Styela clava: one gene and its partner. The protein of the gene in region 2 purifies or fractionates together with the protein of the main gene of each other region. This does not show direct contact. Links are inferred from orthologs where the notes say so. Each region holds a gene or a part of one and is shown on either strand. Other genes may lie near its edges.

Region 1 (7,508 bases), about 2.1 Mb from region 2:
GAAATACCAGTTTGCAAAATCATGAAATATATGCCAGGGATAGCCGATTAGCCGGTAACAAATAATTCACTATTCTAAATAGAGATTGGAGACTCCAACACCACTAAGCAATATTAGCATTCTATATCATGAAATGTGATATATTTTATAGAGAATACGCCTGAGGTCATTGCATAATAATAAAGTTTCAAGTTTTGTTATTCGGAAAAGTTGAATAAAACAAGTTTTGGATCATGAACTTGCCTAAGAGGCAAATTCTTGAAATGCCCACATTTTCAAAGAAATCATTTCTAAATTCAATAAATTACAATATTGAAAATGAATATGTTTGGAAGTACACTAACCATTCTTTTGGATAACTCTGATACAAGCATGCGACAAACACATTGCACTAAAATATATAAGTAAAAACTGAAACTGAGATATACACAATAATAACAGGCAATGTGTGTCATACTAAATACAAAACTCTTACTTGGTCAATACAAGTGCTCAAGTAATCCAAAGCTCGTTCTTGATCAGCATGAATCAACATCATGAATGCGTTTCGTTTACACGAAGCATCTTTTTCTCCTTCCAGAAACTCATGAATAAGTTCTGGAGCATCAGGAATCAAATTTTCAAATTTCCTGGAAGATAAATAATGTCTGTAAACAGATGTGGAGAAGAGAGACTGTTGTCAAAATCACATGAAAAGCAAAATCCCTAACTGCAGTGGTCTACAATTTTTCTCAATATATTCCTGCCTTTGTCTATTTTTAGATCCCCTTATTACTCCCTCACTATGCGGAAAACTGTTTCTGTTGTTTGTTTGAACTTCAAAGCATCCAATATATATATATATATCGAATATTAACTGAATAACCAAATAATATAAGCAAAACTGCATACAAAGAATAGTAATCGTTCTGTTTTTTCTGCCTGTTGGGTTGAGAAATGCTGCCCTAGTGTGACTGAAATAATTGCATTCCTTATAAGGGTTGTTCATATTTCAGATAGTGGTTGTGTTTTGGAATACTTACCTGAATATAGTATAAATGGCAAGAACTGCATTTCTTCTTACATAGCTATGTCTGTGTTCAAGACAGGCACGAATAGCAGGCATTAGTGGTTCAAGCAGTTCTGCCTGACGAAGTTTACACAAGAAACGAAGTGTAGAACCTCGAATGAACTCATTGGGATGTTGCAAATCCTGCAATAAAAGACAACCTTCAAGAACTGTAATCCAGAACTGTATTTAATCAAAATGTCATACATAACAAAACAAAGATAAATTTTAAAACAATTTAATAGTCAATTTTCAACATAGGGATTTATCATTCAAACAGATAAAAAACAATGAAACAGTGTCGCCGTGTCTCGTAGACATTATCGATGCTAAGATATTAATGGCATAGTACACATTACCAATGCTAAGATATTGATAGTTGACTACATATTACTTTTCCATGCAACATTTTAAACATCTTCCACTCCAAACAAGCAGCCATTGCACTATATTTTAGAAGGACTGAAATCTGTCCAGTTGGCCTTATCTATCCAATATATTATACATTAGGTCAGTTGCTGGGCATAGGATTAAAACTCAAGATTTCATTAATATAACCAACATGTTTAAGCCCAACGCTGCCACCACTAGGCCGTTACACTTACACCCATAAACTTGACTTGAAATTTGATCAATCAAGCTTTAATTTGGCTTCCAATTTATAACCGAATGTATCAATTATCTAGTAAAATATTGGGAATCCTCCATATTAAATGCTTATTCAGCGTAATTTTAATAGAATTCATGAATGATCAAGCAGCCCACCTTTCTATAAGCATCACAAACTAGAATCATCTCAGGCCTCAATTTTCCATCGTTGTCCGTCTTGGGCCATATTTCCCAAAATATCAACAATAATTTCTTGATAGTATGATCTTCAGAAGGCAACAAGTATTTGATGATTGTCATCAATAATCCTTGTAATAAAGAATGCAATAATTTAAATCAATTGCATTGAATCGAATCACAAAAATGTAACTTCATTCCAAGCTATTCAAAAGACATATTCATTATACTGTATAAAAATACAGTTGGATTCAAATCAGACTGTAAATGAATATCCCAGATCAAATTATCACAAAATAATTTATTCTATAATACAGTCAAAAAATTTTAAATTTTGATGTGGCTTATCTCCTTACTTATATAACTTGAATTTCTTTGGTGACCGTACATTTGAACCCATGTGTATATCCGCTGGTTCAATATATATGTGAGGGCTAAAACCCATGGGTTAGTGTTAGTATGGGTTCAAATATCCGTGTAACAATAAAAAATCCTTAGATATGATAGTAAGCAGGTGCAATTGCCGTGGGTTCAAATGTACGGTTTCAACCAATTTCTTTATCTTCCGAAGAAAGACATACGATACATATTACGCTATGCTATATACACAAGGTATTCATAAAGTCCTGTTACAATTTTAATTTCGTAATGAAGTCAATTCTCAATCTATCCTAACCAGGCTTGTTTTATTTTAATCGGTTTCCATTTTTTACCTCATATAAACCCGTAGAGGCAAACGAACTATAATATATATATTATATGGTATCGATAAAATCTATTCACAATTTAAAAAATTGTATGACTTCAGTTTCTGCTCAGCACTGAAGATTAATACTATGGATCCAATTATTTTGAAATATTTGTTCAATATTATTAAATTTTTATATTTTGGTATGCACTATTATATTACTCATGAATAACCCAAAATATGTTGAAAAAGAATGTGACATATTATAATCATAAACTATTTTATTTGAATACCAAAAAAAATCATACCATGAAGTTTTTCTCCATTCAATGTCATTAATATGACGCGTTTCAAAGCGTCTGTTTTAGTACGAATATCGCCATGTTCGATATCTGCTTTTAATTGTGATTCATTAGATGGCTCCGAATCAGTAACAGACGGTACATTGATTAGAGTGTGACAAATGCTTTCTGCTGATGTCATTCTGTAAGTCAAGCACTAGCACATCTAAATATCTATCAAATAAAACAAAAAATATTTGAACAAAATAATACATTGCATTTTAGAAACATGATAAAAAAAATTAAAAAACAGGAGTAATAGGGGGTATACTATTTTAAAGCTTGCATTGAAAAGAAAGTTATGTTATATAGCAGATCGTAGCTTGTAAAGTGAGACATTTACAGCTTCACAATAAAAATTGCGCAATTGTTGCTCTCTCATTCACCAAGAGCAGTTTTGTTAAGTTAATATGGCAAGACTAACATATCTTTACCAAATTAGGTTCATAGATAATTTACTAACACTCCTAAAGTTCTCAATGGTCGCTTGAGGCTTTGCTTTTGAGTCGGGTAAAATAGTATACTGCACAACACAGAAAAAATTAAATAAAAACAATAATTTTTCCAAAATTCATCCATATTCATCATCTGAGATATGAAATAGAATGCATGGAATGGCAATGGTATAATCCTATCAGAAAAATTTGCATTCTAAATAACATATTATGACAGGCAGTTTTCCATTCAAATAGAAACATACTATGAATGTCCCTTAAAAAAAAACAAAACTACTATTACATATAAAGACTATTGTTGGTTTGAAAAATGAAACAGATAACAACGGATTTTTCATATATCCACACAGCAATACAAAAAAAAGTTGCAAAATGAGTGAAAAATGACAAAAGATTACTGAAAAACTAAATATCTGAAGAATTTTTTTTCAGGCTCAAATAAAAAAATAATACAGTTCAACTCAGTCAAGTGAATGACATTTTGAGCACTGAAAATTGAGAAAACCAAATCAGGGCCAGTTTAAATTGGTATATTATTAGCTCAGCGGAACCACAGAAAACATATTAGTATGCAGTCAAATACAGGAGAATAACTTCAGAATGATATATTCTGACTAGTTACACTTAATAATTTTGACAAATTGGGTCATACTGGATTATTGCTTCTAATAAGATCAATAGAAATAGCACAGTGTTAAATAAGAGTATACATATATCTGGATATAGTATACAAAAACAGTCTAAAATTATCATTCAAGTTGTGGTTTAAAATAAGTTTCAGCATTTATAGAAATTTCCCGCAATCGGGGTCCATAGAGATCAATGACATAATTTGAACCATCGGCAGGAAGAACAACTTGCAATGCAATTAATAAAAAATCAAAAAATGCACCTAAGCCAAAAATGCCACAGGTGCAAAACTTCAATAATCCCAGTGCTGGATAACCTAAATAAAATCTATCTATCCCTAACCAACCAAGAAAAATTGAAAGTCCAAGTGCTGTTGTATAAGAATATCCATTAGTATATGTACAGTTTATTAGTTTTTCGAAACCAATTTGGCTTCCATTAAACGATTTCCCATCACATGTTATACCATTGACAGGATAGCAGTCAATCTTCGACTTGCCAGCTGGTGTGCAGTTGGCAACAGCCTGAGTATGCTCATCTATTTGAGGTTCAGCACAGCGGTATTGTCCTGGTAAAAGATCAGAACATGCATCTTGGGCATACGATGTACAGTAAAATACCGTCAGCAACGTCAAATAGGCTGCTATTTTTGCGTCTTTCAGGCACATATTACAATACTAGCGGCGGAAAACACCAGCTACGACCAAAAAAATGCTGTTATCGGCGACGTGTCTCGGGAGAATTTTTTGCTTGACTGCGTCGGATATATTAAACAAACACTCAATTATGACATCGAGTGAAAGAGACAAAGAAGTGGATAACCGTAAATTTATATTTAGAAGGATTTGATAAAAAAAAATTTTGAGACTGTTTTAAAAAAAAGTTAAAAACGGAGATTATTGGTTTTGAACTCCTGTAAATTTTTATTAGAATACTTTTTGAATACTGCGTGCAAATAATTATTGAATTACCAGCATAAAAACACCAATTTTTGCAATATTTTCGAATAATTTTGTTTTCCAAATGTCAACAGTTGACTTTCGTATTGAAACCTCCGATTTGTGGAAATATGGATGCTCATATTCTTATAACAACTACGGCCGAAAAAATACAATTTGTTTTGGTGTCGGTAATATGAATTCGATTCCTAAGTAAGCAATGGGGATGGGATACCGGGAAATCCGATCCCCAATTTCAGTGATTTAGACATATTTTCTAATCCATACTCAGGAATTAATTTTAATATGATTCCGAAATTTCAAGAATTTGTGATTTTTGTTTTTATCAAACATTTTTTGACTGCTTTGCTGATTTTTGGTCTAAATAAATTTTTTTATTTTTTTTATATGACTCTTCTTTCAGTATTTTTTTTTACCCATTACGTCACTGTGTCTCAAGTTTAACCTCTGTTGTGTGGGGAATCTTCGTAGAAACAATTTGTGGGGACAAGTAATAATAATAATAAAATGAAATTTTATATTTCTGGTTTTTTATAAACTTGGTAAGTTGTGAAATGTTAACTAAAATAAACCAAGATTAAAAATAGGATATCACACTATCTGCACAAAAATCAGACGATTTTTTGAAGTTAGGCTCGCTCGCGGTTAAACAACAAACACAATAGTATCAGTTTCATATAACCGACTTTTAAGCAAGCTTGAATGCACGTGTTTCGAACCAACGAAGCGTATTTTTTGTATTTAGATCTCGCTGCTCGATAACCAGCATTGGTTCCTCTCGGCTTCCCTTCCCCAGATGAAATGTGTGATTTTCTATCTTCCTCATATTTTGTGTGAAACTGACTTTTTTTCTGGTTGGAAAAAATAAACTTGACTTGTAAGTAATTATCCTTGTTTGGGGTGTCGCGATTAAAATCTGTTACATCTTGAGTTAGATTTGGTTCCCACACCATCCTCGTCAGTAGCGCTTGCGTAGAGAAAACGCATAAATGTGAAACGTTTAAGAGATTTTTTTCGTATTGCAAAGATTTATTATTGTACAAAAAGTATTTTAAAATAGATTTCTTCTTTCTTCTTCTTTCACTCAAAAAGTGCTATGTCTTCGTCTATGGCTGCATATGTAAAACAAAATAGTAATAAAAAACGTTATTTTAATGTTTGCAATTAAGTGCTCTATATAACAGACAAACATACAATCGAAAGCAAAACATAAAATCCTTCAAGTATTTCGACAAAACTATTCAACAAGATTTTATATTTGATATGACAGGTGCAATGTGTAATAAAATAAATAGCAAACTCGCCTTCCTGGTGTTGTATTTCTCTCTTTTTGCGTTTCCAGCCATCCGACGGTACGACGTGAGTTCGCCTTAAAAATATGAGAAAAAGAAGTCCGAATAAAATAATATCTTTATTGAATACAGACCATTTTATAAACAAAGTTAGAGAAATATTTTAGTAGCCTATTTTAGTTTCCACTTTCAACCACAGGATATATTTGTATTGAAATAATGGTTATTCACTTCTACCGTGTTTCCCCGAAAATAAGACCTACCCTGAAAATAAGACCTAGCTTGAATTTAATTTTTTTTTAAATAAGCCCTCCACCTAAAATAAGACCTAGTCAACAACACGATTTTTTTTTTACCTAGTCGATTGCAAGGAATCTATCCTACACGTTTTAAATGATTATTAATCTATGTTTCGAAGTTATTTTGAATAAAAACGTAATATTTATAAGTAAATGGATATCGGCTCGCATGGCCACACATCTTCTAAAAAAAGAATTCAATTTTGATTATTAACAGGAAAAAAACTCGAAGTGATATAACACAAGAATATTACAAAATGTTTTGTTGCTACTTTAGAAGCTTTATCCAACAGCATTTCAGATTTTATTTAACGAAAGGTGATATATACGACATATACTCAGGGTTATAATAAATCTACGGAAATGAAGAAGTAGATATTGTTACAATATTGTGCACATTCACCCACCTTCCATTCATCCGAGTAAATGCTCCGCGTATAAATGGAGGCCGCCTTGAAAAAGACATCGTGCCGTCTTCGTCATTTACTCCTTCCTCTAATTCGAACTTTGGCAAATTTATCAACAAAAAGGCGTAAGCACAGCTAAGGGCAATTAAGGTGCAGAATATCGTGGAGAGTACAAAACGCATTCTTATTACTTATTATAGCCACACTGTCTAAAATACCTAGTGTCTTTAACAAATGAAAAACAAGAACGCGAGAATATGCTTCAATTTTTATATTCATGTTTTGATTAGTTATTCCTTATGCCAAAACGGGGCTTTCTTTCAATCAAAACAAGGCTATGAATAAATGTCACTGCTAGAAGCTACTATCGTTTGAAGGGACCGGGATCTTTCCAGGGTACACGTTGACTACCCAATTTATCACATCCTAGGTAAGGGTATGGTCATGTTATTTGAACCTGAGACTTTTACCCTGTGATGGTAACTTTAACCATCAAGTCATTGTAACCAAAGTTTTTCAGAAATATTAAAATGCTATATATATATCGATTCTAATGATTGAACACAGCGAAACGTTTTAGAGACTGTAACATGGACCGTAAGA
Region 2 (6,670 bases):
CTCACTAAGTCAGATCAGAATTAAACACTCAAATACTTCGGAATGACGCACATGAGCAAGTTGGAAACCATCAGCTCACCACAATTGGTCGAAGCTCTTATATATTTATAACTCACCAATGCAGGTTAGAAGTAAACACTCAAATACCAAATTTCGATGACATGTTTGCAAATAGCTTTTATCAGCATAATTTTCCATTTTAGTTCTATCATTAGGTAATTTATCATTAGAATTCGCACAATGTGAATAAAATTTAAGTATAAAGAGTCAAGCTTACCTTGTAGAGACTGAGCATTCGTAATTAGCAAATCAACTTCCGTCATCTTCAATTTTTCTTTTAACATTATTGCTTTCTTACAATCTTGGAGTGAAATGTTGATTCCATCAAACGTAACATTCTTGTAATCATTGCTGCTTGAGAACTTATAGTGGATCGCTGACATATCGATGCTAAATTCAGTTTCTATTACCCAATACAAAAATCAATCGGTATAAATGGTATTCGATTTATTCCATGTATTCTAAAGACAATATTATACATGTTATTATATATACCAGGCAACAAATATACAGATATGATAAGCACCCATCATCCATATCATGAAATAATGCAAATACATTACTTAGGCTACTACCAAATCAAGTCCAGTCATTTCATATTTTAATTTAAAAAAATTTAAACTTTTTATGTGATATTTTATAGCATTGCTCTCAATGAGGCTTTGGCAAAGCATTCACACACAAATAGTAAGGTCTCAACTCCAAATTAAAGAATGGCTAGAATATTTTAGCACATCTAAAGCCAACATATTACAAGATGGTGGGCTTCTAGACTAACCAGGTCTATTCATCATTGGCTTGCTTAGTGAGCATACTCTGATCGAGGCACAAAATACTAGGATGACACACCTAACTTTTTTATCCAAAAAAAATGATTGAAAATCAAAAAATAATGCAAATTAAAAGCGTTATTTTTCATCATCAGTGCTACATAGAGCCAACACATCTCAATTTAAATAGTATAATAGTGATTAATTCCCAAGATTAGTAAATGGTAAATATATGCACTTCTTTAATATCAAATTTCAAAAATTATCTAAAAAATGGGCATATACATTCAATAACCCACACCAAAAGGAATTATTTCAGAACTTTTTCCTTAGTAAATCTGCTCGGAACATGAAAATCATGAGGTGTAAACTTTGCCTGACATCAAGATATTTGAAATATTTAAATATATTTTCTAATTTTCTATTTTTGTATTATTGCAATGTCTTATCAGATTGAACTATCAAGCAGGAGCATATTGCATTGCCAAACGATCAAAGTCATTTTCTTTTGTATTGAAATCTTTGACAAATTTGTGCTTCCCATGAGAATCTTTCAGTTGCGACAGATAACGATTGGTAACTTCAGGTGGTTTTCCAATCTGTTGCGAAAGCACTATCATATTTATTAGAGTTTCAGCACAGTTGCTGTCTTTATCCATTGCTTGCTGTAAAACACCTTCCGCTTCGTCCCATTTTCCTTGAGCTATGAAGCACACAGCTTGACCATTGAGCAGTAACGTGCTACTTTGATTCTTGTCTGCCATTTCTTGAAAAATATAATAAGCATCTTGTAGTTTTTCCCCTCCTACAGAGATATTAAACCACGCCTGTGCAAGTTGAGTCAAGGTTGAATCTTCATCAGTTTCTTGCATTCGTTTGAGTTCTTTTTTTGCAAGATCGAGCCTGTTTATCGCAATGTAAATTTGAATCGAAAGAGCAGAGCACTCCAATGATTCAGCACTGTGAAGGATTCGCAAGGCGGAGTCAAAGTTTTCTTCGTGTGAATATATACTTGCAGCAATTAGTGGTAAAACGGTGTTTTCAATGTCAATATTCCCAGAAAGTTTATTTTCAACTTCTTTCAAAACTTGGTCCTTGTTTGATGAGTCAGCTAAATACTGAGCGAGAAGTTTAACAGCTTGAAGTTCCGATGATCCCAGACTCGAAATTTCATCTAAAACGACTCCAAACTTTTTCTGAGCAATGTATGCACGATACATAAATACATCTCGCTCATTCTTTTTTACTTGGCTACTCACTTTAGCCTTTTGTGCCTCATTGATACATTGTTGATACAAACCAAGATAGAACGCATTTTTGACATCAAAAAGTTCATCGACTTCAGATTGTTGAGACATTTCAAGTTTTTCTATTAAGAATAAGTAGCTATAATAATTAAACCATTTAATGTCTGTACAGAAAGAAGTGATAAGATATGGAAATTTCATAATAAAATAAAAAACTGTATTTGTCTCTTAAATGAGGGCATCTGGCACGACAGCAGATGCGTGGAATTGTGCCATGCTTGTCTCGATAATAATCTAAACTAATCGCGGCCACCACATGTGTTTTTTGCTATAAACTCTCGAATGCTACAGAAAAAAAATTTCAAGAAATCCAATTGTGACGTTTTCAGATTGCACTTTCTTTTCATTTTTGTGCAGTGCGAGTTTGTTCAGTTTGGAAGCCCAGACGGTCTAGTGAATGGGGTTTACACAGGTTTAATAATAAAAAGATGTAGACTAAATGTTGACAGGTTTCGGAATTATGTAAAATCACAGAACCAAGTTCAGAAGTTTAGGGTGGCTTACCCACTTCGCGGCCACGACCTATTTGCGGCCATCAACTTCATCGATCTAATTGATGCCGAAAAAATTAAAGAACCGCGACGATATTCGTCACGCATTATTGTCCACTTGTCTCTGCGATATTACACTAAAATACGGCCACAAACAGAAAAGCTACGACCGAAAACCTGACCGACGATAAAAACAGACCATTTTTTCATGTCGCCAACTACCCATTGTCCCATTAATGAAACTTGAAAATCCATACAAATATAAGAGATAAAAAATGAAACTTGGCAAGGGGGTAGAGTTGTGTTTTATTTAACCATCTTTTAAATATTTGCGTTTCTACATTTAAAGGAGGGGGAATAGGGGGGTGCACATTTCAAATAGGTCAATAATATCTTTGTCGACCAATTTGCGACCACCGTGTTTTTGTCTGTTTGATTGGGAGGGGGAATAGGGAGGTGCACATTTCGAATACGTCGATAATATCTTTGTCGACCAATTTTCGACCACCGTGTGTTTGTCTGTTTGATTGCTGTGATGTGGTGCTTTGTATATAATTTGACGAGTTTTGTTCGAAATGACCGTGTTCTTAAAATATATGACGGTCAGAAATGCAATTAGAAGCCCAATTTTTTCACGCATGGCTGCGCATGCTCTAGTCTCGACGCAGCAGAAACGATGTTCAAAGCTTGAAATTTGTGATCGCACACTGGTCGTTCGGTCGCAAATAGGGTGGTGTAGCCAGTCTGCGGACGATTTCATTCAAACCGCTATAAAACAAAAACCAATATTTCTAACCCCTGGTCGTAGAAAGTTAATTCGAGGTTTAGCGCGTAGAATACATGCCAATGCACCTACGGTGAAAAATTAACGGTTAGAAATATTGGTTTTTGTTTTATAGCGGTTTGAATGAAATCGTCCGCGGACTGGCTACACCACCCTACTTCTGTATTCCAGTATTTCAAAACGCTATACCTGATACGAATATTCGAACTGATAACTATAGTTAAAGAGATTGTTTCATTTTTTTATTACTACTACCTGACTACTGTACCGGTACTATCAGACTGTACAAAGGCAATGTTAAAACTTGAGTCACCGTACAGCCGTAACGTTAGACCGGTGTCTGTCTGTTAAAAATTCAATAAATCACCCCGGCAGTCACTGATAGATCTATATTTATGAAATAAACACTGCGTTATTCTACTATTGTTGACAGAACTATTTCCATTGCGGAAAATGAGAAACCGGGTACGACCCCAATATTACAAAAATACAGAAATAAAGAACGACACGAAACATTCCATGACGATTGAAGTTCGCTGCACTGCTTTGAGACTAGAATGTCGTCACCACTTATAGAAAATTCGAAACTACACGGAGAAATGTTAGATGAATTGTTTTCGGTATTCTGATGATCACCATACCTCTAATTGTTAAATTTTATAATAAAATGTATATTTTTCAATTATTTAATTAAAGAATTTTTAACAAAATAGATTGAATTTTTGACAAAGAGTTCAAGAAAGCAGTAACATTTTCCGCGTAGAACCAGATGTTCTGAGGCGGCGGTCTACGGTGGCTCGGCAGTGTGGCACATCGTGCTAAGCGTTAGGAATACGCTCGCCACCGCATCTGATTAGCCTTCGTGGGATCGCAGGTTCGAATCTCATGCGGGGATGATCATGTGCAAGAGGATTGCTGGACTCCTCGCCGCCGTAGGGTGGTTCACGTAACCGCTGATAGGTTACGCCTTCCGAAAACAAATAACTGGCTAACTAATCCCATACCCGACCTGGACTGGGTAACCAGACGAGAGGCCGTGGTTCGCCATATGATTGAGCCGTCTTATCGGCTTTCCTCTCCCCGGGATAAATATGTAAATCCTATCCAATGTAAAGTTACTATCGATCTCACGCATTGAGGTTATATACACCTCAATGATCTTACGTCGGAGTCGGACATGTGGTGTCTTGGACCGCTTAGGTGCCGATAATTTCGCGCACGGGGCAATCCAAGAATCAGCATTTGGTTGGAAGAAGCCGACAAGAAGACTACAATAAATAAAACTTTGGGCATATATGCAGCACTCTTGAGTGAAAGTACGGGGCGAATGTGTGTTATCTTGTGCTGATGTGTAAATGTGATGCCCAACTCAAGCAAGGTCTGAAGGTAGGTGGTGAACTCAAAAAATGGCGAGCATATCCCGATCAGGAAAGAAGGGAAAGATTTAACAACACTTGTAGCTATTTGTCGTAAGATAGTATTAGCAGGCTAAAGAAGTGGCAGAAAAAGTTCATCGATGCTAATAAGAAGGGCCAGTAACGTAATTTGAGAAATGAGATAGGGGGGAGAATACAAAGCTCTAGTGGAAAAAGGTAATGCTCTGCGGCGAACTGTGTCAGACGCTCCAGGGGGAGCAAGCATTGTCCTTCGAGAAGACAGACGGCAGCCAGGATGCCCAGGAAAGACTTCGATAGGAAATGGGTGATAAATCGTGCATCACTGGGAGCTCGGAAAAGCCAAGCTGAAATTGAGATGGCGCGAGGCTCAATTTTCCCCATCAGACATGCAACAGGAATATTTTTATTTAAACGACGCACGTTTTACTATTTCATAAATTTATCTCAAGTCGAAATAATTAAATTTGTCGTTCCCAAACACATTTGGTCATTTCATTATAGTTCGCAGTTAAATTTTCTTTGCTGCTGCATTCTTAAATATGGGTAGGGGCCTACTGCTGCCTTACTCCAAAGTTTGTTGACTTTAACCGATTCGAAATTGTAATATATATATGTCTATTTACTTGCGATGTGAATATTTTTATCTGTCTTAATTTTAAATATCTAATTGAGATATTTTAGGAGTAACTTTCGGCGAGATGATATGACATAGGCCTACCTTATGACGACCTTTTGTTTTTTTGCAGATTTAAGTACTTGCATTCGAAATTCCAGGACAAATAATCTTTCATATATATATACAGTACAACCTATCTCCCACAGTGAAAACCAGAACAACGATAAAAAAAAAGTTTGCAGATTACATAGTTTAATTCAAATGTTGGAATAATTGGAAATTTTCACACGTCTGAACAAATTTGATCAAAGAGTATATATTTGTCACATATGCAAAATCCGGTTTCATTTCCTCAGGAGTAGCTACCACCGTGCGAGAGATCAACTGAAAATAAAATACAAACTAGATTAAAGCACATCTGAGTTATCACAAACGTCCAGAAATCAAAAAAGTTCATTTCAACCCAGTCCGTTTTTTTCTGTTCCTCGATATATATATCGCATTTGATAATGAATAATAATAATAACTATTTTTTTTTGTAGTTTAATTTTACGACTGAAGTTTCAAACATATACGGTGACGATGCCGATATTACCGAAATTTGAAACATTCTGACAATTTTATTATTCCCAAAATTTCAAGGCTAGTGCGCCATGAAGCAATAAGCTTAACACATCCGACAAAATATCATTTTTTCTTTACTTGAATTTCTAAAATATATATATATGAATAATAAAAAAAACTGCTACCTGCTCCACAATCATCGTAGCATTTTTTGCAATCATATCCACTTGCAGACTTCTCTTCGTTACATGATGGGCAGATCCCGTTGTCTCGTACTAGTTTGTCGCAACTTGTGGCATACACGTTGTCGTCTACGTAAAGAGAAAAAGTAGGAATTTATAAGTTGTCGTAAACTTGCTGCTATCTTGCAAGCGACATTGTGTGACCAATTAAGTTTATTTTTTTGTACTTCAACTTTTTTCACATATCGAATTACTTACCGCAGACTGATTTAATGCACGCTTGACAAGCTCCCGGTTTTGTAGGTTTGCAGCCGTATGATTCGCATTTTTCATGACAGGACATTCCACTCGTCACCTGATCTCCTCCTAGTGCCACGCCCGAATAACCCTGGCTTGATGGCATTGGGATAGGAGAGCCTTGTGTGGAAGGTTTTGCTATAATATTGAATGTAAAAGTATTAGTGTCATTCCAGACTCCACAAATAATAAGTACTCGCAG

What was found. The genes of interacting proteins can lie anywhere in the genome.
Region 1: the proteins of coatomer subunit epsilon-like (region 2) and coatomer subunit beta-like purify together in Homo sapiens (affinity purification with mass spectrometry; 6 studies listed by BioGRID and IntAct, with this or other methods). This does not show direct contact. The link is inferred for Styela clava from reciprocal best matches to the Homo sapiens genes COPE and COPB1.

The regions. Positions count from the first base shown.
Region 1 is NC_135255.1:10,256,915-10,264,422, reverse strand, and holds the start of coatomer subunit beta-like, read right to left. Parts: upstream 3,006-7,508; coding exon 2,831-3,005; intron 1,966-2,830; coding exon 1,814-1,965; intron 1,193-1,813; coding exon 1,023-1,192; intron 630-1,022; coding exon 476-629; intron 1-475. Other genes in the region: TM2 domain-containing protein 1-like, read right to left, coding at 4,068-4,616. UniProt on the Homo sapiens protein: The coatomer is a cytosolic protein complex that binds to dilysine motifs and reversibly associates with Golgi non-clathrin-coated vesicles, which further mediate biosynthetic protein transport from the ER, via the Golgi up to the trans Golgi network.
Region 2 is NC_135255.1:12,390,509-12,397,178, reverse strand, and holds coatomer subunit epsilon-like, read right to left. Parts: upstream 2,260-6,670; 5' UTR 2,189-2,259; coding exon 1,292-2,188; 3' UTR 520-1,291; downstream 1-519. Other genes in the region: uncharacterized protein LOC120331661, read right to left, coding at 278-443; uncharacterized protein LOC120330988, read right to left, coding at 5,778-5,809, 6,175-6,300, 6,430-6,606. UniProt on the Homo sapiens protein: The coatomer is a cytosolic protein complex that binds to dilysine motifs and reversibly associates with Golgi non-clathrin-coated vesicles, which further mediate biosynthetic protein transport from the ER, via the Golgi up to the trans Golgi network.